Linked DNA regions of Callithrix jacchus. Each later gene encodes a partner of the first gene's protein in a complex. Links are inferred from orthologs where the notes say so. Each region holds a gene or a part of one and is shown in the gene's direction. Other genes may lie near its edges.

The links.
Region 2: the proteins of CNOT1 (region 1) and ZFP36 are in contact, whole or in part, in a crystal structure (PDB 4J8S), measured with the Homo sapiens proteins. The link is inferred for Callithrix jacchus from reciprocal best matches to the Homo sapiens genes CNOT1 and ZFP36. Residues at the interface, in NP_057368.3 of Homo sapiens: Gln821, Glu835, Asp845, Ala848, Asn849, Phe852, Gln853, Tyr856, Asn894, Glu897, Glu898, Phe901, Gln904, Tyr905, Pro906, Glu909; in NP_003398.3 of Homo sapiens: Arg314, Arg315, Leu316, Pro317, Ile318, Phe319, Arg321, Ile322, Ser323, Val324, Ser325.
Region 3: the proteins of CNOT1 (region 1) and CNOT9 are in contact, whole or in part, in a crystal structure (PDB 4CRU), measured with the Homo sapiens proteins. The link is inferred for Callithrix jacchus from reciprocal best matches to the Homo sapiens genes CNOT1 and CNOT9. Residues at the interface, in NP_057368.3 of Homo sapiens: Ile1415, Ala1416, Thr1418, Thr1419, Gln1422, Ile1423, Lys1426, Asp1427, Phe1428, Met1444, Asn1447, Leu1448, Gly1451, Met1452, Met1454, Ile1455, Arg1458, Glu1459, Tyr1548, Gln1549, Arg1552, Met1553, Pro1554, Gln1556, Ile1557, Leu1559, Val1564, Lys1567, Gln1568, Leu1569; in NP_005435.1 of Homo sapiens: Arg19, Glu20, Tyr23, Ile26, Asn27, Ser30, Ser31, Pro32, Arg35, Pro54, Met55, Trp57, His58, Ser59, Phe60, Gly61, Ile63, Ala64, Ala65, Leu67, Gln68, Val71, Asn72, Tyr74, Pro75, Ser76, Ile77, Asn78, Pro79, Thr81.
Region 4: the proteins of CNOT1 (region 1) and DDX6 are in contact, whole or in part, in a crystal structure (PDB 4CRW), measured with the Homo sapiens proteins. The link is inferred for Callithrix jacchus from reciprocal best matches to the Homo sapiens genes CNOT1 and DDX6. Residues at the interface, in NP_057368.3 of Homo sapiens: Glu1097, Ala1100, Phe1101, Phe1103, Asn1104, Asn1105, Leu1106, Ser1107, Ser1109, Asn1110, Lys1114, Lys1137, Arg1138, Ile1141, Glu1142, Asn1144, Phe1145, Leu1148, Tyr1149; in NP_001244120.1 of Homo sapiens: Phe329, Ser330, Arg331, Leu332, Gln333, Ile334, Asn335, Gln336, Leu357, Gly358, Tyr359, Ser360, Leu384, Arg386, Asn387, Ala402.
Region 5: the proteins of CNOT1 (region 1) and NANOS1 are in contact, whole or in part, in a crystal structure (PDB 4CQO), measured with the Homo sapiens proteins. The link is inferred for Callithrix jacchus from reciprocal best matches to the Homo sapiens genes CNOT1 and NANOS1. Residues at the interface, in NP_057368.3 of Homo sapiens: Ile2327, Ile2330, Lys2331, Trp2338, Glu2350, Phe2353, Gln2354, Val2356, Ala2357, Met2361; in NP_955631.1 of Homo sapiens: Phe40, Ser41, Ser42, Trp43, Tyr46, Leu47, Leu49, Thr51.

The regions. Positions count from the first base shown.
Region 1 is NC_133521.1:16,470,360-16,475,122, reverse strand, and holds the start of CNOT1 (CCR4-NOT transcription complex subunit 1), read left to right. Parts: upstream 1-1,605; 5' UTR 1,606-1,704; intron 1,705-4,763.
Region 2 is NC_133523.1:34,892,499-34,897,234, forward strand, and holds ZFP36 (mRNA decay activator protein ZFP36), read left to right. Parts: upstream 1-1,460; 5' UTR 1,461-1,499; coding exon 1,500-1,541; intron 1,542-2,338; coding exon 2,339-3,295; 3' UTR 3,296-3,998; downstream 3,999-4,736. Other genes in the region: uncharacterized protein LOC144580767, read right to left, coding at 4,104-4,473. UniProt on the Homo sapiens protein: Zinc-finger RNA-binding protein that destabilizes several cytoplasmic AU-rich element (ARE)-containing mRNA transcripts by promoting their poly(A) tail removal or deadenylation, and hence provide a mechanism for attenuating protein synthesis.
Region 3 is NC_133507.1:140,332,259-140,336,427, forward strand, and holds part of CNOT9 (CCR4-NOT transcription complex subunit 9), read left to right. Parts: intron 1-1,668; coding exon 1,669-1,761; intron 1,762-2,413; coding exon 2,414-2,512; intron 2,513-2,724; coding exon 2,725-2,816; intron 2,817-2,994; coding exon 2,995-3,274; 3' UTR 3,275-3,959; coding exon of another isoform or gene 3,960-4,005; 3' UTR 4,006-4,169. UniProt on the Homo sapiens protein: Component of the CCR4-NOT complex which is one of the major cellular mRNA deadenylases and is linked to various cellular processes including bulk mRNA degradation, miRNA-mediated repression, translational repression during translational initiation and general transcription regulation.
Region 4 is NC_133511.1:18,400,827-18,404,995, reverse strand, and holds part of DDX6 (putative ATP-dependent RNA helicase DDX6), read left to right. Parts: intron 1-345; coding exon 346-440; intron 441-2,935; coding exon 2,936-3,058; intron 3,059-4,169.
Region 5 is NC_133513.1:111,982,573-111,987,420, forward strand, and holds the start of NANOS1 (nanos homolog 1), read left to right. Parts: upstream 1-1,721; 5' UTR 1,722-1,809; coding exon 1,810-2,691; 3' UTR 2,692-4,848. UniProt on the Homo sapiens protein: May act as a translational repressor which regulates translation of specific mRNAs by forming a complex with PUM2 that associates with the 3'-UTR of mRNA targets. Capable of interfering with the proadhesive and anti-invasive functions of E-cadherin.

The DNA.
Region 1 (4,763 bases):
AGAGGTTGCAGAGATCGTGCCACTGCACTGCAGCCTGGGTGACAGAGCGAGATTTAGTCTCAAAAAAAAAAAAAAAGGTTCAGATGCTAAATTTCATGTTTTTTTTTTTTTGAGACGGAGTTTCGCTCTTGTTACCCAGGCTGGATGGAGTGCAATGGTGCAATCTCGGCTCACTGCAACCTCCGCCTCCTGGGTTCAGGGAATTCTCCTGCCTCAGCCTCCTGAGTAGCTGGAATTACAGGCAGGCACCATCATGCCCAGCTAATTTTTTGTATTTTTAGTAGAGACGGGGTTTCACCATGTTGACCAGGATGGTCTCGATCTCTTGACCTTGTGAACCACCCGCCTCGGCCTCCCAAAGTGCTGGGATTACAGGCGTGAGTCACTGCGCCCGGCAAATTTCATGTTTTTTACCATCATTTTTTTTTTTTTTTCAGTATATATTTTTTTTTTTTCAGTATTTTTTTTGGCACAAGAGGTAATATGAGACAGATGGCCAGGCGATCACCTGCTAAGCCTAGCCTGAGAGCAGGGGTGAGCAGGGGATAGGTTTTAATTTCAAAAGGTAATAGAGTTAACCAGTCAACACTTCCTTCCAGTCCTTTCTCTTTTGGGTACAGGTGAGCATAAAATCTTACCAATTATCATAGTTAACAAACAAACCATAGCAAAATATGTCTCTATGCTTTTCCACTTGAGAGCAAAGGACATGGGTATCCTTTCTTAGACGGCTCCTAGGACTTAAGCCAGGAAGAACACTTGTGTTTCCTTCAATAGGCAGAATTAAAAGAGAAAATTCCCTTGACGAAAGCGAAGCAAGCGAGGACCAGGTGGCCACCTGTGTGACTACATCCCCCAGCATGTACTGCTCCTTCTAGGGCGCAGCCAGTGACGGAAGAAGACGCGGTACTTCTCCGATGAGAACAGGGTAGGGAAGCGCGACTACATATCCCAGGATGCAAGGCGCCCCAACTCTAGTCACTATCTGACTTGCTTTCTGGCTGGTGTTCCCCGCCAAAGGGACACTAGGGGGGCGGAATGTTTCGGTTGGTACTCCCCGAAGTCTACTGGACTGTGACATTTCGAAAGAGAAAGGAAAGTGGAGGAAGGCTGTTTCACTGTAACTCAAAGTAGTTCCTGCACAAAGTGGCGAGGAGCTATGGGTCCTTTCCATAATTTATTGTTCCTCAAAGGCAATGCCAAGCGCCACTGGTCGCAGCCCTCCAGGGCAGGTAGGAAGTCCATGAAGCCCCAAATCGAAGTTATCAGCGTCTCTCTATTGGCCCTCGCCTCGAGCGCAGGCGCGAGGGCTCCGACTCAGGTCCCCTGGGCCTGGTGAGCGGCAATTGGCTACAGTCCACGAAGTAGAAGTCTGGATTGGTAGTTGCTAGCAAAAGCCTGGTTTCTTCCTCGACTTCTGCAAGTGATAGAGTGTGATTGGTTTAAATCCGCGGGTAGCTGTCGGTGATTGGGCGGGAGCCACAGGCGGGGCGCGGCCATTGGCTGGCGCTGGGACCATCCCTCCTCGGGCGGGCAGCGAATGATGAAATGGGAACGGGGAGGGGAAAGGCCGCGACGTGAGCGCGCGACCTCCGGCGCCATTTTGTCGAGAAACAAGCGGAGTTAACCGAAGAGGGGGTTGAGGAGAGCTGGAGTCGGGGACCCAGGAGTTTCCTGTGTTCAGCGCTGCTGGAGCCGTCTGAGGTGAGGCGGGCTGGCGTCAGGGCCTGGGGTACGGTGGCGGTGTTAGCTTGGGGACGCCAGTGCCAGTGGGAGGAGGAACAGGGGTGCACCTGGGGCCACTGGAAGCGTTTCCCGGAGCTCCGGGGAGTGAGAGGCAGCCGGGACGGGCAAGTGGGGCGAGGCGGGAGACGGCTCTCGGAGGCTTCGCGCTCTGAAGATGAGGCCAGCGAGAAGGCTCTAGGAAGCGGAGGGTAGAGCGCGGGATGAGACCCGGGGTGGCCTCTGTCCCGGGCCTGGAGGCTCAGGGGGCGGCAGTGGCGGCAGTTGGTGTCGCTGGGCCTGGCTTCGCGCGGGTTGCATCCTCCTGAAACCCCCCCACGACCTCCTCAACTACTCTTTCTCACTCTGCACCCGGATGGGTGCAGTGGGCATCGGCTCCCGAGGCCTAGCGCTTCGGATGGGGGGAACGGTGTTTGGAGTTTTTGCACGTTTCCAGTTTTTCTCAGTGTGCTCGGAGCTGCCACTCTTCCCCCTCTTACGCCCCCTGCACATTGTCAAAGCCCCCCATGTTTCGGGTGTCCCCGGATGGGAAGGGCGGGCGGGAGCGAGCACTTCCTTATTACTTGCCACAGGTTTTGTTCCACTAGCGCGCCCGGGCGCTCACACTTTCTTTGAAGTCGGCCCCCACCTGCTCGGTCCGGTGTCTGCAATAGTGGCGGTCCTGTTCACCCAAGACAAGTGTCCCGCTAGTGAGCTGAGCACTCATAGGCCTGAAGGCTGACGAGAGATCCTCTGCAGGTCTTGTAGAGGTACTTAAGGCCAAAGACAAATAATACTTTTTTCAGTACCACCCTCTGCAGAATTCACCCAACAGGGCTCACAGATACTAACTCCGCAAGGAGTAAACTTTGTAGATGAAAAAAGAATGCTTGATATCTGTGCATTTGAAAATGTTATATTTAAAATAAACTTTATGACAAACTTTTCCCCTAAAGTTAAATGTCACGTTTCTTAGGACTGTAATAAATTAAAGGCAGTTTTCTTCCTGAAAACTGAGTAACAATAGTTAATCTCCCTGCCTGTTCCTCGACAATTTGATCGCCTGTGACTACTTGGATTTTTTTTTTAAGTGTATAATTGAGTAAATACAAGTAAACTTTTTGAAAAAAATGCTGAGCGTTTTCCTTATGACAGTCCCTTTGATAGGAATAGGGAATACATGGATTAAGAAACTGAGGGAGGGCAAGTAAAATATTAGGAAGAAGATCAAACAGATTAAGAACAAATTTTCTTTTTCTTTTTTTCGAGACGGAGTTTCGCTGTTGTTACCCAGACTGGAGTGCAATGGCACGATCTTGGCTCACCGCAACCTCCACCTTCTGGGTTCGAGCAATTCTCCTGCCGCAGCCTCTCGAGTAGCTGGGACTACAGGCGTGCACCACCATGCCCAGCTAATTTTTGTATTTTTAGTAGAGACAGGGTTTCACCTTGTTGACCAGGATAGTCTTGATCTCTTGACCTCGTGATCCACCCGTCTTGGCCTCCCAAAGTGCTGGGATTATAGGCGTGAGCCACCGCGCCCGGCCTCAAATTTTATTTTTCTAGAGGTACTTGGATTTAATAGTTAAGTGGTCTGTGGTCCAGGTTTGTATTCCTACCCAACAGAGGATTTTAGCTATTAAGAAGGTAGGTTGTAACAGTTTAAATAATTACGTTTTAGGACACTGCGAATTGTTACCTTGTCTAAGGAGAAAACACATTGATGATACATGGTTTTAGGTGGCTAGCTGTGCTTTGACTGAAATGATGACATGTTGATAAAACTTGTTTGGAGAGTTGGTCCCTTTTCAACAAATATGGGTCTTCTGAGTCTTAGTGGAAATAAGTCTAGAATTGATTGGGTGCTGTGGCTCATGCCTGTAATCCCAGCACTTTGGGAGGATGAGGTGGGTGGATCACCTGAGGTCAGGAGGTCGAGACCAGCCTGGCCAACATGGTGAAACTTCATCTCTACTAAAAATACAAAAACTGGCCAGGCGCAGTGGCTCACGCCTATAATCCCAGCACTTTGGGAGGCCAAGACGGGTGGATCACGAGGTCAAGAGATCGAGACCATCTTGGTCAACGAGGTGAAACCCTGTCTCTACTAAAAATACAAAAATTAGCTGGGCATGGTGGTGCACACCTGTAGTCCCAGCTACTAGGGAGGCTGAGGCAGGAGAATTGTTTGAACCCAGAAGGTGGAGGTTGCGGTGAGCCAAGATCGTGCCGTTGCACTCCAGTCTGGGTAACAACAGTGAAATTCTGTCTAACAAAAAAAAAAAAAAAAAAAAAAAAAAAAAGATCAAGACCATCCTGGTCAACATGGTGAAACCCCGTCTCCACTAAAAATACAAAAATTAGCTGGGCATGGTGGCGCATGCCTGTAGTCCCAGTTACTCGGGAGGCTGAGGCAGGAGAATTGCTTGAACCCAGGAGACAGAGGTTGCAGTGAGCTGAGATCGTGCCATTGCACTCCAGCCTGGGTAACGAGCAAAACTCTGTCTCAAAAAAAGAAAAAAGGAAAAAAAAAAATACAAAAATTACCTGGGTGTGGTGGCAGGCACCAGGAGGTTGAGGCAGGAGAATTGCTTCAACCCCAGAGGTGGAGGTTGTGGCCAGCTGAGATTGCACCACTGTACTCCAGTCTGGGTGTAAGAGTGAGACTCCGTCGTCCCCCCCCCCCCCCGCCAAAAAAAAAAAGGCTGGACGTGATGGCTCACACCTATAATCTCAGCACTTTGGGAGGTCGAGGCAGGCTTATCACCTGAGGTCAGGAGTTCAGGACTAGCCTGACCAACATGGTGAAACCTTTTCTTGGGGGAAAAAAAAAAAGAAAACCGGGAGCTGTGGCTCACGCCTATAATCCCAGCACTTTGGGAGGCCGAGGCAGGCTTATCACCTGAGGTCAGGAGTTCAAGACTAGCCTGACCAACATGGTGAAACCCTTTCTTGGGGAAAAAAAAAAAGAAAACCGGGAGCTGTGGCTCACGCCTATAATCCCAGCATTTTGGGAGGGGTGGGGGTGGGGAAGGATCAAG
Region 2 (4,736 bases), on another chromosome or scaffold:
CACCCAGCTAATTTTGTGTATGTTTTGTAGAAATCGGGATTCGCTATGTAGCCCAGGCTGGTCTCTAACTCCTGAGCCCTGGTGATCCTCCCACCTCCGACACCCACAGTGCTGGGGCTACAGGTGTGAGCCAGGCGGAAGAGTAACTTGACTATGGTTTCCTCCTGCATTAAATGGGCACATCACCTGGCTTGTTAGGGTTACTGCACATACTTAAAGCACTTAGAACAATGATCAGCCCAGAAGAACAGATTATCTGCCTGAAAGTGAAGGGCTAGAGGCGCCCTGTTAATTGGGAAAGGAGGCCCCTTTTCAGCTTCACCAGGTGTCCTGGACCCCAACCCACTCACTCACTCACCCAATCCCAGCAAGTGGTGATCGGGAGGGCGGTCCCAGCCTCCTTATCTGTCTGGGCTTTTTGGGAGTGAGACCACCCAAGGCAGGCAGTTCTTGGAGAATTCTTCTCCAAGGCCTGCTGGTTCTTTCCTGGGGCTTTGTTCTACAGATTTCTTTCTTTAAGTGCTTGTTTCTCATAGTCTTTCTCCTTTTGTGTCCAGTCTTTCCTTCCTTCTTTATTTTTCTCAATGACAACAGGTGTCATCTTTTTTTTTTTTTTTTTAATAATACATTTTATAGAGATGGGATCTCGCTGTTGCCCAAGCTGACTTCAAACTCCTGATCTCAGATAATCCACCTGCCTCACCCTCTCAAATTGCTGGGATTGGCAGAGTTTGGCGGCTCACAACTGTAATTCCAGCTGTTTGGGAGGCCGCGGTGGGAGGATCACTAGAGCTCAGGAGCCCGAGATCGGCCTGAGCAACACAGAAAGAGAGAGAGAGAGAGAGAAAGAAAGAAAAACACAAAAAGTGCTGTGATCACAGGCGTGAGCCACTCGTTCAGCCCCTTTCGGTTTGTTTCTGTGATTCTCCCAACCCTCTTCTCCCTCTGAATCTGTCTCTGGGACTTTCTCTCTCTCCCCACCTTCCCTCCCCTCCTCACCCTCTCTATCCTTCTCTGGGTCTCTGTTGATGTTTTTCTCTCTGCCTCTCTCCCTGTCTGTCTGTACCCCTCTGCGTGTCTCTCGTCGCCCCCGTTCTTCTGTGTCGCACGCACACGCCCCATCGGGCCTCTGCCCTTGTCAATTGCCCCTGGAGCCCTGCCCCCACCTCCGTCCCAGTTCCCTTCTACAAGCCTCAGTCTCCAGCTCTGAAAACTCGGCAGGCGCCCCGCCATCCGCACCCCCACCTCGACTCCCACCCCTGCCCCACGCACTCCCCGCCCGGTCGCGGCTGTCCACCGGCCAAACTCAGGCGCGTCCTGGCCCAGGGCCGGGCGGAAGGGAACCAGTCCAGGGCCAGCCAGGCTGCGCCAGGGGCGCGCGTCCGGGAAGCGCCCCTCCTGCCCCGCCCCCGGCCCCGCCCCAAGCCGTCTATAAGACTCTGGCTCTCCCTGCCAGCCTCAGCCTGACTTCAGCGCTCCCACACTTGGCCGACTTCCTCATGGCCAACCGCTACACCATGGATCTCACCGCCATCTACGAGGTGAGTCCCCGCCACTCGGCACCTGCACGCCTGACTCCCAGCTCTCTAGAGCTGCAAGCTCCGGCCCGGGACTGGAGCTTGCCTCCCTTCTCCAACTGGGGCCCCCTAGTGCGCCAGTTCGGCGCCCCTGCCTTCTACTCTCAAGACCCGCTTGGTGATTTGGAGGTGAAATGGAGCTCTGGTCTCCCGGGTCTTGGCTCAAACATGGGTGGGGCGGCCCGGGAAAGTGGAAAGTCGGAGAACTTTTCTCACACCGAGGCTGCCTGGAGGCGGAAGTGGCCCCCATACCTGGCTCATCCCTAGTGGTTGCTGAGGGCGTGGTTTTGCGCGGAGGCGTGTCTGGGGCTGAAGTCTTAGGGTGGGGGGATCCGACTTACGTCTCTCCAGTCCCTGACCGTAGTTCTCTGAAAACCCTAAAACCAAAGCGATCCGGACTCCTGGGTCAACTTTGCCCGGTTCCTCCAGTTGTGAAACTGGAGATCCCGACGTGTGGGTCATATCCGGGGAGGTCCAGAGACTCAAAATTGGGAAACAGGGGTGCGCTCTGACTTCGGGGACCCCTCTTGGTCCAGCCGGTGAAACAGGAATTCCTGGGTCCCTCGGGATAATGCCTCGGTCGGGGGTAAACTCGGAATCTCCAAATCTGGGTTCCTGGCATCTGGAACCTGGGAGTTTCTGCGAGCGGGTGGGGCTCAGGCCGGGAGCCCACAAACCGGCCTGGCAAGCTCTTGATCCCTGCAGCTGGGGTGGGGCGTCGCCCTGCATATTCGGGTGCCTTAACCGACCCATTTCCGCAGAGCCTCCTGTCGCTGAACGCTGATGCGCCCGTGCCATCTGACCACGGAGAGACTGAGTCCAGCCCAGGCTGGGGCTCCTCGGGACTCTGGAGCCTGAGCCCCTCTGACTCCAGCCCGTCTGGGGTCATCTCTCGCCTGCCTGGCCGCTCCACCAGCCTGGTGGAGGGCCGCAGCTTTGGCTGGGTGCCCCCACCCCCTGGCTTCGCACCGCTGGCTCCCCACCTGGGCCCCGAGCTGTCACCCTCACCCACCTCGCCCACAGCCACCCCCACCACCTCCTCCCGCTACAAGACTGAGCTGTGTCGGACCTTCTCAGAGAGTGGGCGCTGCCGCTATGGGGCCAAATGCCAGTTTGCCCATGGCCTGGGCGAGCTGCGCCAAGCCAATCGCCACCCCAAGTACAAGACGGAACTCTGCCACAAGTTCTACCTCCAGGGCCGCTGCCCCTACGGCTCTCGCTGCCACTTCATCCACAACCCCAGCGAAGACCTGGCAGCCCCGGGCCACCCTCCTGTGCTTCGCCAGAGCATCAGTTTCTCTGGCCTGCCCTCCGGCCGCCGGACCTCACCACCACCGCCAGGCCTGGCTGGCCCTTCCCTGTCCTGCTCCTTCTCGCCCTCCAGCTCCCCGCCACCACCTGGGGACCTTCCACTGTCACCCTCTGCCTTCTCTGCTGCCCCTGGTACCCCTGTGGCTCGAAGAGACCCCACCCCGGTCTGTTGCCCCTCCTGCCGAAGGGCCACCCCTATGAGCGTCTGGGGGGGGGCCTTGGGTGGCCTGGTTCGAAGCCCCTCTGTACAATCCCTGGGATCTGACCCTGATGAATACGCCAGCAGCGGCAGCAGCTTGGGGGGCTCTGACTCTCCAGTCTTCGAGGCGGGGATTTTTGCACCACCCCAGCCCACGGCAGCCCCCCGGCGACTCCCCATTTTCAATCGCATCTCTGTTTCTGAATGACAAGTGACTCTGCCCCGCCAGATCAGTTGGATCTCACGGGGGAAGCCACATCTCTTGCACTGTGGTCTTTGCATGGACCCAGGGCTGTGGAGACTTGGGGGACAGTAATCAAGTAACCCCCTTTTCCAGAATGCATTAACCCACTCCCCTGACCTCAAGCTGGGGCAGGTCCCCAAGTGTGCAAGCTCAGTATTCATAGTGGGGGATGGAGTGTCTTCTGAGGTTCTTAAAAAAAAATGTAGCATATTTAAGGGAGGCAATGAACCCTCTCCCCACCTCTTCCCTGCGCAAATCTGTCTCCTGGAATCTTACGTGCTGTGAATAATAGGCCTTCTCTGCCCCTCCAGTTTTTAGAGATCTGAGGTTCCAGAGTCTCCTGGTAACTGGAACCTCCCCTGAGGGGGATCCTGGTGCTCAAATTACCCTCCAAAAGCAAGTAGCCAAAGCTGATGCCAAACCCTACCCATGAATCAGTGGGTCTTTATTTATGACGACTTTATTTATTCTAATATGATTTTATAGTATTTATATATATTGGGTCGTCTGCTTCCCTCGTATTTTTCTTCCTCTTTTTTTGTAATATTGGAAACGACGGTATAATTATTATAAGTAGACTATAATATATTTAGTAATATATATTGTTACCTTAAAAGTCTATTTTTGTGTTTTTGAAAATTTTTAAATAAACGGAATCTGCGTGTAAGCTGGGATCCTCGCTTCTTCGCGGTCTAGAGACAAGAATGGGGAGGGAAGGGGTTGACTTTTTGGAACCAGTCAGCTCTGCTCCTCCCAGCCCCGCGGCGCTTACCTGGCAGGAAGTGACGTCACCAGGCCTGGCCGTTCACCTGAAAGGGTGTGACCAGGTGAGGTCACCAGATGAGAACTGGGGGAGCCAGTTCCCGGGCGTCGGGGCACCGCGCTCCGGTCTTGCCGAACTCCTTGACCCAGCTCTCCGGCGGGCGCGCGCGAGCGGGTACGGGATGTTTCCGTCCCCACCGGGCCGCGGGAGGCGGGAGGGGCCGGGTGGAGAGGACGGAATGTGCTGGGGCGCGCGCCCAGGGCGAGCGGGGGCGGGCGCGGGGCGGGGCAGCCTGGGGTAACGGAACCCGTTTCGGGACTCGGGGTTCCTGGGGGGCTTCGACGCCTTTGGGATGTTGGGAGGAAGCGGGTTTTAGGGTCTCAAGAGTCTAGGATCTCTACATTTAGGAGTCTCAGGTTGAGTCCCCTGGCGCTTTAGACTCTGGAACCCTGGTGGCTCGGAGTTGCGGGTTTCTGGCCACCCGGGACCCTGGAGCCCAGGAATTACCAGATCTTGGTATTTCCGAACCTTGGAGGCCCGAGGCCTCGGACACCCACCGTGGTTGGCCCCGCGAGGCCAGGGTGTGTGGGTAATAGGGGCCGCGTGTCTAGGAGGGGCCCCGGAGGAACCGCGTCTCCGGAC
Region 3 (4,169 bases), on another chromosome or scaffold:
CAGTGGCTATTCACAGGCATGATCATAGCACACTATAGCCTTGAATTCCTGGGCAGTCTTCCCACTTTATTCTCTCGAGTAGGTAGCTGTGATACTGGCATACATCCCTATACCTGGCTGTTTTAAAATTTTTTATTTTAAATGTACAATATATGAATGACTCTCAAAAGTACTGTTGAGCAAAAGAAGCCAGACACATAGGAATTCATACTGTATGTTGATTATGTGAAGAGAAAGCAAAGCCAATTACTGGCAATAAGTTGGATTCATGATTACCTCTGAGGGAAGGACATTGACTGGAGAAAGGTACAAGGGAATGCTGGAATCCTGAGTTGGTAGAAATATTATTTTTTTCTTTTTGAAACAGTCTCACTCTTTCACCTAGGCTGGAGTGAAATCACATGATCTTGGCTCACTGCAACATCCATCTCCCAGGTTCAAGCAATTCTTGTGCCTTAGCCTCCTGAGTAGCTGGGACTACAGGTGCGCACCACCATACCAAACAAATTTTTTGTATTTTTAGTAGAGATGGGCTTTTGCCATGTAGCCCAGGCTAGTCTTGAACTCCTAAGCTCAAGCAATCCGCCTGCCTCTACCTCCCAAATATTCTGTATTTTAATCTGGTTATAGTACAAAATGTGTACAGAGGTAAAAATTCATCAAGGTACACTTAATATTAGTACACTTAACACACTTCTTTGTATATGTTTATATTAAGTTCCTATATAAGCTCCTGCTATAACAAATTACCACAAGGTAGAAGCTTAGTGGCTTAAAACAATACAAGTTTACTGTTTCACAATTTTGGAAGTCCCAAGTTCTAAATGAGTTTCACTAACCTAAAGTCAAAGTGTCAGGAGGGTCATTCTTTCTCTGGAGAATATAAAGGAGAGTCGTTTTCTTGCCTTTTCCAGCTTCTAGAACTGCATTTCTTAAATTCCCTGGATTATGGTCCCATCCCTCCATCCCCCACCATCTTCAGAGCCAGCAGTGTGGCATGTTCAAATCTCTCTCTGCTTATCATATTGCTTTCTCCTTTGTGGTAAAATCTCTCTCTACATCTCTCTCTTTTTTTTTTTTCAAGAGATGGGGTCTTGCCTGTCACCCAGGCTGGAGTGCAGTGTCATGATCATAACTCAATGCATCCTTGAATTTCTGGCCTCAAGCAGTCTTCCCATCTTGGCCTCCCAAAGTGCGGGGATTACCTGCATGGGCCACTTTGCCTGACCTTCTCTACATCTCTGTTAAGGATACTTGTGGTTACATTTAAGGCCTACTTGGATAAACCAGGATAATCCCCCATCTTGAGATCCTTAACTTAATCATCTGCAAAGTCCGCTTTTTGGTTTAAGATAACATTTGCAGAGTTTGGTGATTAGGGCCTGGATATCTTTGAGAGCCATTATTCAGCCTACTACAGTGTTTTAACCCCAATAAAATAGTAAATTAATTCCACAATTCATTCTGATGAGCAGCCAAGAAAGAGTATTGTATCATGATTGTCTGATTTGAATGAAATTAATGTCTTAATATCTCTTCTATGTAAGAGTTAATAAGTTTAAGTTGAGGGGAAAATTGAGGCTAGTTATTAGCTTCACAGTCAGGATATTTTTTATTACTATCGGAATAATCGAAGAGAAGCTTAAAAATGTTACTACTTCTGGCCAGGCGCGGTGGCTTACACCTATAATCCCATCACTTTGGGAGGCCGAGGCGGGTGGATCACGAGGTCAAGAGATCGAGAACATCCTGGTCAACAAGGTGAAACCCGGTCTCTACTAAAAATACAAAAATTAGCTGGGCATGGTGGCGCTCGCCTGTAGTCCCGGCTACTTGGGAGGCTGAGGCAGGAGATTTGCTTGAACCCAGGAGGCGGAGGTTGCGGTGAGCCGAGATCGTGCCATTGCACTCCAGTCTGGGTAACAAAAGCGAAACTCCGTCGGTGGTGGTGGTGGGGGCGGGGGACGACTTACTTCTTAAAGGTCTTTTTTTTTTTTTTTTTTTTTTTAAGACGGGATTTCACCATGTTGGTCAGGCCAGTCTTGAACTCCCGACCTCAGATGATCTGCCCACCTTGGCCTCCAAAGTGCTTGGATTACAGGCGTGAGCCACCACGCCTGGCTTTAAAGATCTTTTAAGAACAGGAAAGGTCTTACCTCATCTGGAAGAGATGAGGCATAGCTGAATTGATTATAAAAAGATAAAAGCATGTAAAGCCTCTTGAAAAAAAACTGGCACAAAGTTATGTTCACTATGACAATATTTATTATTTGTACTATACGTATATTTTAAAGTTGTATATAACATACAAGGATCCCTGCTTGCTCAATTTTCCGATTGATAATCATGCCTGGGGCAATGAGAAGATAAATCTGAGCAACTTTATAAACTCTTCGATTTTATTTTGCTTCAGGTTGCCACATTCATCCTCCAGAAGATCTTGTTAGATGACACTGGTTTGGCTTATATATGTCAGACATATGAGCGTTTCTCCCATGTTGCCATGATCTTGGTGAGTTCTTTGATCTATCCCTTTTACAAGTACTTCTCATCACACAGTTTAATCTCTTTATAACTGGCACTGAACAACTCCAGTCTTCTGACTAGAAGTAATAATTTTGGAACCTTGTATGATTCTTGGACTATCTGATTTCTGATGTCAATTAGAATTTTTTGTGTTTTGTGTGTTTTTTCCAACCCCTCCCTTTATTTGGGGGGAAACAGGGTAAGATGGTCCTGCAGTTGTCCAAAGAACCTTCTGCCCGTCTGCTGAAGCATGTAGTGAGATGTTACCTTCGACTCTCAGATAACCCCAGGTAAACATTTAGTGGCTGTATAGGACTTTTTTAGTGAAATACTCTGCTGAACAGTTTCCCAATCCCTTGGCATAATTCCTGTGTCTTTAGGAGAGGGAAGGGGGGATATAAATATAACTACTACATTTAGTTTGTCTAAGACAGAACTTAGATTTCTTTTTTTTTTTTTTTTTTTGAGACGGAGTTTCACTATTGTTACCCAGACTGGAGTGCAATGGCACTATCTTGGCTCTCCGCAACCTCCACCTCCTGGGTTCAAGCAATTCTCCTGCCTCAGCCTCCCGAGTAGCTGGGACTACAGGCATGCACCACCATGCACAGCTAATTTTTGTATTTTTAGTAGAGACGGGGTTTCACCTTGTGACCAGGATGGTCTTGATCTCTTGACCTCGTGGTCCACCCACCTCAGCCTCCCAAAGTGCTGGTATTATAGGCGTGAGCCACCGCGCCCAGCCTAGAACTTAGATTTCTTTTAAAATCTGAAATGCTGAATTTTAAAAGCCATCAGAGTTTTATCTTCTCACTGTAACTCTCAATGCTACTGTGAAATTCCAGAGTAGGCAATTTCCAGGGAAGCCTTATGATGCATTACTCTTGTTGTTTGAACTTTCTGTTGCTACTCTACATGGTCAGAAAGAGAAGTATATTTTCAAAGATCTCTTAGAAAGGAATACAGCCCAGGGGGCTCTTGAATTCTATTTCCAGTTATCTCCTTGATTCCTATAAGTTTCTTGAGCTAATGATTTTATCTGCTTATGTTCATAATCTTTCTGCCAGAAATCATACATTGTAGATATAATGCATTTTAGAAATATTTGACCTTTTGCTTTGTAAGTCCATAATTCATCCTGAAAGCAACTTGCTCATATTCTGCTAAACCACATAATGGAGCAATTTCTGTGTTCTAGGAACAGAGCTAGTCTGATTTAATGTGAACTCAGTCTCCTGCCACTGAGTTTATTCCAGCCCTACCTGTTTGTTGACCATTTTGTCCTGTTCTTCAGTGGTTCTTGTTTTCACCAAAGTTTAAAAATGTGTTTATTTAAAATTCTACTTGTACAAAGAAAACTAGTCTGAGTGCAAAAACTATAACTTTGTATTTTTAAAAAAGTTCTACAAGTAGTTAAGATTTACCTTTTTTAGGTTTTCAGATTTGACTTTCTGCTGGTCATCTTTGCAAAGAAAATGAAACGTTTAAAAGTTCATCTGATAATGTAATGCTGCTACCATAGTTTTGTTTTTACTGCTCATCTCTTATTAAGGTTTTTAACCATAAAACTGAAGCAATTTCTGTAGATACAAACTGAAAAGTTAGTATAGAATTAAAATTCATTCAGTTACAAGTTTGATGAT
Region 4 (4,169 bases), on another chromosome or scaffold:
ACTGGTCTCAAACTCTGGACCTCGTGATCCACCTGCCTTACCTCCCAAAGTGCTGGGATTATAGGCATGAGCCACTGTGCCTGGCCTAATGTTTCTGATAAAAGATAGTCATGTGCTGCATAACAGTGTTTTGATCAGTGACAGACTGCATGTATGTTGGTGGTCCCATGAGATTATAATGGAGCTATGCAGTGGAGTAAGCGATACCATCTAGGTTTCTCACATAGCAATGCATTTCTCAGAATTAATCATTAAGCAACTCAGGACTATATGGTAAACCTTTACATTATCCCTTTTGCCAAAATTAAAATTAATGAGAATATATGTTTTCTAAATCTTGTGTAGTGCACGTGGTGATTGCTACCCCTGGGAGAATCCTGGATCTTATTAAGAAAGGAGTAGCAAAGGTTGATCATGTCCAGATGATAGTATTGGATGAGGTAATGTCTCTACATTTGGCATTATACTATTCTGTTCTTTTCTGTGCTTTGCTTATAACTGCCAGCGAATGAAGCAAAAGCTGGTCGTGTTTATAATCTAATAAACATGTAAATAGTCAGTTTAAATTAGTTTGCTTATAAAATGTGTTTTACCCATCAGAGGCAGTAGATTATAGGCATTCATTGGGATTCAGCATTTTGTCTCTTTCTTAGAGATGCCAGAAGTTAGGTTTTATTTTAATTTTTAAGGAATGGCTGAATAACCTCAAAGCCAAGTTAATTCTAAGTCTCTATCTACTCAGTGATTTTTTAAAAGCATGTAATATATATTCTCCCTTCTCATTTTGTGCATACTACTTGGTATTGTTTGGTTTTTGGTCTCTGTTTATCCCACCATGTTGTAAATGTCTTTTTAAGAACTTAATAAAATCTATAGTCCTGCGATGTAGCCATGTTTTGTGCAGGTGCAGATTGTCCTTAACTTATGATGGTTCCCTTTACAGTTTTTCAGTGAAAGTGATATGCTTTCATTAGGAACTGTACTTTGAATTTTTAAGTTTGATATTTTTTCTCATTAGTAATATACTGCAAACTGCAGCTCCCAGTCAGCCACATGATCATTAAGGGTAGACAGCCAATACACTACGGTATACAGTGTTGTCAGGTGATTTTGCCCACCTGTTAGCTAAGGTAAGTGGATGTCTACATAATGTAGTAACTACCTTAATTAGCATGTTTAAGGGAGGCTGGGCTAAGTGATGATGATCAGTTGGTTTAGGCAATATTTTCAACTTAGGTTGAGTTTATCAGAACATAATCCCATTGTAAGTCAAGGAGCATTCGTATTATATCAGTGTTGTTAATATTTTGACGTGAGGTATTTTTCACATTTGGTTTGTGTTTTATGATTATTATTATTTTGAGACAGAGACTCACTTTGTCACCCAGATTATAGTGGAATGATTTCGGCTCACTGCAACCTCTGCCTCCCGGCTTCAGGTGATTCTCATGCCTCAGCCTCCTGAGTAGCTGAGATTACAAATGTGTACCACGACACTCAGCTAATTTTTGTATTTTTAGTAGAGTTGAGGGTTTCACTATGTTGGCCAGGCTGGTCTTGACCTCCTGACCTCAGGTGATTCTTCTGCCTCCCCCTCCACCTCCTGAAGTGCTAGGGTTACAGCTGTGAGCCACCAGCCTGGCCGGGTTTGTGTTTTAGGTAACATGATTTAATTCAAATCAAGCTTTTGTCTTTAAGTAATGAGAGATAACATTTATTAATCACTGTGTACCAGCACTAAGTGCTTTACATGTTTTTTAATTTAATTTTTATACAACAAACCTATAAGGTAGGTATGCTGTAAAGTAGTTACTACAGTATATAGACATCCAAATTTTAATTTGCTTATAAAATATGTTTTATACTTCAGATACAGTAGATAGGCATTCATAGGAATTCAGCTTTTTGTCTTTTTCTTACAGATGCTGGAGTTTAAGTTTAATTTTTAAGCAGAGGAGTGGCTGAATAAACTGAAGGCCAAGTTTTTTCTAAGTCTCTATAAAGTAGTTACTACATTATGTAGACATCCAAATTTTAGTTTTCTAATTTTACAGTTGTAGAACTAAAGTACATTCTGTAACATTCCCACACAGCTAAGAAATGAAGGAGGCAAGATTTGAACCTGGCAGTTTAGCTCCAGAACCTGTACTTTTTCTTTTTTTTTTTTTTTTCTGAGACGGAGTCTCACTCTGTCGCCCAGGCTGGAGTGCAATGTCACGATCTCGGCTCACTGCAACTTCTGCTTCCCAGGTTCAAGTGATTCTCCTGCCTTAGCCTCCCAGGTAGCAACGGGTGTGTGCCACCATGCACAGCCAAGTTTTGTATTTTTAGTACAGACAGGGCTTCACCGTATCAGCCAGGCTGGTCTTAAACTCTTCACTTCAGGTGATTCGCCTTCCTTGGCCTCCCAAAGTGCTAGGATTACAAGCATGAGCCACCATGCCCAGCCTCGGAAGCTATACTTTGAAACACTATACCATGTTACTTCCTTAATGAGAATCATCACATTTAAATTCTGTTGTGGAGCTGGGGACAGAGGTATATGCCTGTAGTCCTAGCTACTCAGTAGATTGAGGCAAGAGGATCACTTGAACCCAGGACGTGCAGACTGAAGTGAGCTGTGATTGTGCCACTACACTCCAGCCTGGGTGACAGTGAAATGCTGTCTCTAGAAATAAATTAATTAATTAAATTCTGTTTCAGAAGGCAGGGTTTTATCTGCAGTGTAGATTGTTTTTTCACTAGAAGATAGGGATTATAGATTTTGCCCCTGTCTGAATATTTGACTGCAGTGCGGGAGAGAATTTATTGTATTCAACCAGAAACATTTCATGATGCTTTTGTTGGGTGATGCCTTATTCTTTGAGCATGTATTAACCCAAGTCCTTAGAGATTATTTTATTGTTTTTAAAATTGTCTTTTCTTTATGCTGCAGGCAGATAAGTTGCTGTCACAGGATTTTGTGCAGATAATGGAGGATATTATTCTCACGCTACCTAAAAACAGGCAGATTTTACTATATTCCGCTACTTTCCCTCTTAGTGTACAGAAGTTCATGGTGAGTATAAATCTGTACTTGGAATCAATACCATCCTGTGGCCTATGAATATGCTTTATTTGCAGTTACATCTTCCTATCTGTGAATATGGTTTATGCTAATTATTTCAAGCCTTTGGCTTTTTCTTCAGTTGATCAATTAAAGATTTCTCGTATATAAATTAACTGACTTTTTTTTTATACACAAATGCTGAAACATCTGTCTTACAATTTGATTAGGGTACTTAATTAGTATCTGCATTGGCCACCAGTCATCATCAGCCATGCGATCTAAAAACCACTCACAAGCTGCCTATTATTAAACTGTTTGGTTAACAGTTCAATCCACTGAAGCATTGTGGGCTTTTCTTTTGAATGAATAAATGTCTCTAGGACAAAGGAAGTGCTTAACTTTGCTATCATTAGGGACACAGCTTTAGGATCTGGTAATGTACTGGGAAAATTAACTGACTTTTTAAGAAAGCTGTAATAGGCCGGGTGCGAAGGCTCACACCTATAATCCCAGCACTTTGGGAGGCCTAGGCGGGTGGATCATGAGGTCAAGAGATCGAGATCGTCCTGGTCAACATGGTGAAACCCTATCTCTACTAAAAATCCAAAACATTAGCTGGGCATGGTGGCGCGTGCCTGTAATCCCAGCTACTCAGGAGGCTGAGGCAGGAGAATTGCTTGAACCCAGGAGGCGGAGGTTGCCATGAGCTAAGATCACGCTATTGCACTCCAGCCTGGGTAACGAGTGAAACTTCATCTCAAAAAAAAAAAAAGAAAGAAAGTTGTAATAGTGGCTGGGTGAGGTGGCTCACGCCTGTAATCCTAGCACTTTGGGAGGCCGAAGTGGGTGGATCACCTGAGGTCAGGAGTTCAAGACTAGCCTGGCCATCATGGTGAAACCACATCTTTAAAAAATAATAATAATTTTTTAAAAAAGAAAGTTATAATAGTAACTTGATTAAATTCCTCATCTTTCACTTAGTTTTTGGTGTCAAGATGACATAGTCATTGGTGCTAGGTGACTTGATTACAGTGTTCTATATACAAAACAGAGATTATGAGTGTCCTAAACTGAAATCCAAAATGTCAGAATTTGAAACCTTTTGAGCCACCAATATGAT
Region 5 (4,848 bases), on another chromosome or scaffold:
TGAGTCCGTCTATTAAAAAAAAAAAAAAGGCAAGGAAAGATCTAACAGAATAATCCCAAAGATCCCTTCCCATGCTGACATTCTGATTCCCTCACTCACTCACTCTAATATTAACCAATGCCAGCACCAGGTTCTGGGCATCACCTGCTGGGCCATTCTAAATGTGCTGGGCACAGCCAAGACATGTGAGTGTGGCCTCAGGCCTAGTGAGGGCTCACTGTTTCCTCAGCCACTGCATGGTCCAGAATGGGGAAGGAAACCCCCACCCGCCCCATGCAGCCCACCCTGCCACAGCCCATCTACCAGGGAAGGCATTTTCCTGATCCCAGTTCTAGGTTTCATCCTAGAAGAGCCCTCAACATCTAAAGCCTTTCCTACTTTCAATTTTTTAAAAAGCTGGAAAGGATAAGACCACCTGTCATCTTCCTAATCAAAACTCATCTTCTGGCTCTTATTCTCCATGGCTTTTACACAACATGTTTTATTCATTTGAAAGTGTTTAATTATAACGTTGAGGCCAGGTGTGGTGGCTCATGTTTGTAATCCTAGCACTTTGGGAGGCCAAGGCAGGAAGATCGCTTGAGGCCAGGTGTTCAACACCAGCCTAGGCAACATAGTGAGACCCTGTCTCAAAAAAAAAAAAAAAAAAAAAAAAAAAACAAGGCAAGAAGAAAAAAAAAAGAGAGAAAAAGAAAGGAAGGAGACAAAACAGAACATTGATTACATGTTTTTTCAAAGTGCACATACAACCCACATTTTTACCCAGGCCTCTGGGGCAAGGGGGTACACACACACACACACACCCCAATCACTGTCCTGGGCTCTCCAGCCATGAGATTTTCTGACCCAGCCCAACCCCGACCTAAGTCACCGTGTTGTGGCGACCCATTAGCTGAGGTTCCTGAGCACTTGTTGGGAGGAAGGCTGCTGGGAAAAGTCCTGCGTCCCTCCGCTCTTACCACAGCAGGAACCACAGCCTCCCCGAACCTCAGGGTTTGTGTGGATTTCGCACAGGAGAAAGCGTTCCAACGCGCGGTGCAAACGGAAGCCACTGGCTGGTTGGGCGGGCTGTGATGGGAAAGCTGCATCCTTCCATCGCGTCCAGCTTTTCTTGCTGATGTTGGTGAGAAGGGGGTGGACAGCGGGGATTCTCAGGATGCGGGCCTGGGGCCATTAAAGGCTGGGAGACGGGGGCGTGAACCTGTGGCCACCCTGACCCCGTCTTCGGTGGGCCTCACTACCAGGCCGAGGAGACCCAGGCCTGGTCACTTGCTCCAATCACAGGCCTAGCGCTCAGACGAAGCCGGCCCCGGCAGCCGCCCCTCCCCGGCGCTCTCCCCTACTTTCTCCTCACCTCCCAGGGACGTAAAGAGCACGCCCCCCTCCCCAGACCCCACCAATCAGCATCCGGAGCGGCGCCCGAGGCGCCGGGTCTATGGTCGGCAGCCAATGAGCGCCGCGGCCCGAGGCGGCGCCTCACCCGCCCCCTCCCGGAATGAAGGCCGCCCGGCAGCTGGCGAGGCTGGCGCAGCGCACGGGGCGCGGGAGCCGCGCGGGCCGGAGCGGAGCGCGCTCACAGTCCGCCCGCCTCCGCTCCGCCTCCGTCCAGGGCGCGGGCGAGGTGGCCGGGGCGGGGGAGCGCAGGGGGCAGGGCCGCGGCGGCGAGGCCGGGGGGCGGGGAGGAGCAGGTCCGATAAAAATCGGCTCGGCGGCCCCACCCCGCGGCAGGCAGGCGGGCAGGCTTGGCGCGTGTCTTCCGTCCGGCCCGCGCCGGCGGCGGGGAGGCGGCGCGCGGCCCGCAGCCAGCCCATGGAGGCTTTCCCCTGGTCGCCCCGCCGCGGCCGCGCCCCCGCGCCCATGGCGCTCGTGCCCAGCGCCCGCTACGTGAGCGCCCCGGGCCCGGCGCATCCGCAGCCCTTCAGCTCCTGGAACGACTACCTGGGGCTCGCCACGCTCATCACCAAGGCGGTGGACGGCGAGCCGCGCTTCGGCTACGCCCGCGGTGGGAACGGCGGCGGCGGCTCCCCGCCCTCCTCCTCCCACTCGTCCTGCTGCTCCCCACACGGGGGAGCCGGGCCCGGGGCGCTGGAGCCAGCGCTGGGACCGCCCGACTACGACGAAGACGACGACGACGACAGCGACGAGCCGGGGTCCCGGGGCCGCTACCTGGGGGGCGCGCTGGAGCTGCGCGCACTGGAGCTCTGCACTGGCCCCGCCGAGGCCGGGCTGCTGGAGGAGCGCTTCGCCGAGCTGAGCCCGTTCGCGGGTCGCGCTGCCGCCGTGCTGCTGGGCTGTGCGCCCGCCGCCGCCACCGCCACCGCCACCACCACCACCACCGGCGAGGCGACGCCGCGCGAAGAGCGGGCCCCGGCGTGGGCGGCAGAGCCCCGGCTGCACGCGGCCTCCGGGGCGGCGGCCTCCCGGCTGCTGAAGCCGGAGCTGCAGGTGTGCGTGTTCTGCCGGAACAACAAGGAGGCGATGGCGCTCTACACCACCCACATCCTCAAGGGCCCCGACGGGCGAGTGCTGTGCCCTGTGCTGCGCCGCTACACGTGTCCCCTCTGCGGCGCCAGCGGCGACAACGCGCACACCATCAAGTACTGCCCCCTCTCCAAAGTGCCGCCGCCGCCGCCCGCCCGCCCGCCGCCCCGCAGCGCCAGGGACTGCCCACCCGGTAAGAAGCTGCGCTGAGGACCCTGGCTCTCGGCTCCCCAGGGTCGCTACTGCCGCCCCTCGAACCGCTCGGTCTGCGCAGCATCTCGCCCCTGGCTCAGCAGTCAGCTCGACTTGGGACGTCGTCCTGGTTTCTCAAAAGCAGCGACCGTGTGGAGTACTTTCGTGCGGAGCGGTTGGGACTAGACGCTGAAATTCCCGTTTGTCTTCAGTTTCTAGTTTGCACATCCAGAACGGCGAAGGCTGGGTGTGTATTCCACTAACTGAAATATGGCAACATAGAGGCGCTGTTTATTTACTGTATACGTCGACCTATTTTAGATGCGCGTCAGTATGAAATTGTCTCAATCTAATCTTGGATGTTTCATTTTATGAATGGAGGCACTTTACTAGGTCTAGAATATTTTTTTAAAAGCCTCTGAACTGAGCTTAAAACTGGCGATTTTATGAAATGTCGGCAAAGTGACTATTTTATTGTTTGAAGCGAGTAATACTCTTAGTTGTCCTTAAAAATCAGTTACTCTAATTCCAGATGAAGCAAGCCCCTGGTAGCATCACCCTTATGAGAAGTGAAGGTTTTGTAAACTTTCCAGTATTAATTTGGGCGGGTATTCCCTCCTTGTGGCTTGTTTCTGTCCTAGCTGGAGGTGTAAGATGCACAGTCTGTAGCAGGTAGAATACAGCTCCTTATCATTTTATGTACCAGATCTTTTATTACTGAACTAGCAACTAGCCTTTTCCACCTTTAAAAGTTGTGCCAAGTCGTAATCATATTGTGTATAACTTGGAAATGGTGCTGTTTAAAAAACTTGTGTATTTATACAGTAACAGTATGAATTCATTAATCTCACCTGTAACTTTCCTACTTGGCCTTTTCTCTACACACTCACTTCTTGAAAAACGTTTATATTACGATCAAAGGGAGGAAGACAAGACACCAGTATTAATTCACCCTGGATTGCTCAGTTTCAGGGTTCCTAGTGGAGGAAAGCCCATTCCAGCTGTTGCCTCTCAAATAGAAGATGGATCTCTAGCTCTGACCTGTTCGTGTTATCAACTCGTATTCAAGAAGGTTCGACCGTGGGCTGCGTCTGACCTTAAGAATACAGGCAGTGCTCAAACTAGAATAAGCACTAATTAAAGCAATTGTTGGAGGTCCTTCATGTTGCCATTCCTACTGGAAGACCCACGTCCATTTCCGGAACCCCACCAGTTACCCATAAAACTAAACCTGATCCTTAGGCAACAGTTCCTAACCCCTACTTTACCCTCCCACCCTCAACTTTAAATCCGCCATACTGAATGCCACACTGGAATGCAGCCAGTGTGGCTGCCAATCAAGACAGATGTAGAAGGCAAAAATAAGTGAATTAAGATGAACTCATCTGAAATGCATCACTATTTGAAGATACCAGCACGAAATTCAGTGTTACGTGTATTACGCTCCCAGCAGGAGGATTTAGCTAGACAATTAGACTGCTTTCACATTCCACAGCTAACTTCCTCCACAGCAAATTGGCTCAATCAGGAACCTTCATTTGAAGGTGTGTTTAGAGGGTGGGGAAAATACTGGACAGCTGTCTTTTTGGGCAAAGGTGCATATCAAGAATCCCGGGGCGGGTAGGGGAAAAGCAATTTCTTAGCCAGGAAAGAGAAAATCCAACCCTGCTAGTCTTCCCAGACTAGAGAACTGCAGATCTGATTGGGCCTGAATTAAGTAGCTTAATGAAACTGTAATCATCCTTTTACTAGAAAATATAACAATTTAAATGAGCTTCACTTTCTGGGTGAAGTTTCTAAGGTCAACACGAATCCTACCTCTCCCACTGCTCCAGTTCTGCCTTTTCAAAGGACCACTATAAACAGATCAATCCATTACTCTAGGCCAAAAGGGCTAGGCAGGTGGCAAGATCAACTAAGCTATTTTGTATTTTTAAGAGTCAAATTATAGACGGTCTGTGAGGCTGTGAAGTTACTGTGACGAGATGTGCCTAATGTTAATTTCACATTCTGACACCATTATTACTATTTTACCAGAACTAAGAACACGTTGAGCTGGAGTTTCCTGAGGGCAGGAGAGTATTAGGAAACGTATCCAGAAGACCCTCTGTTAACTAGTCAGGCAGCCACTATCATCTATTTTTAAAGTACCCCATTTTCAGACCGGGCATGGTA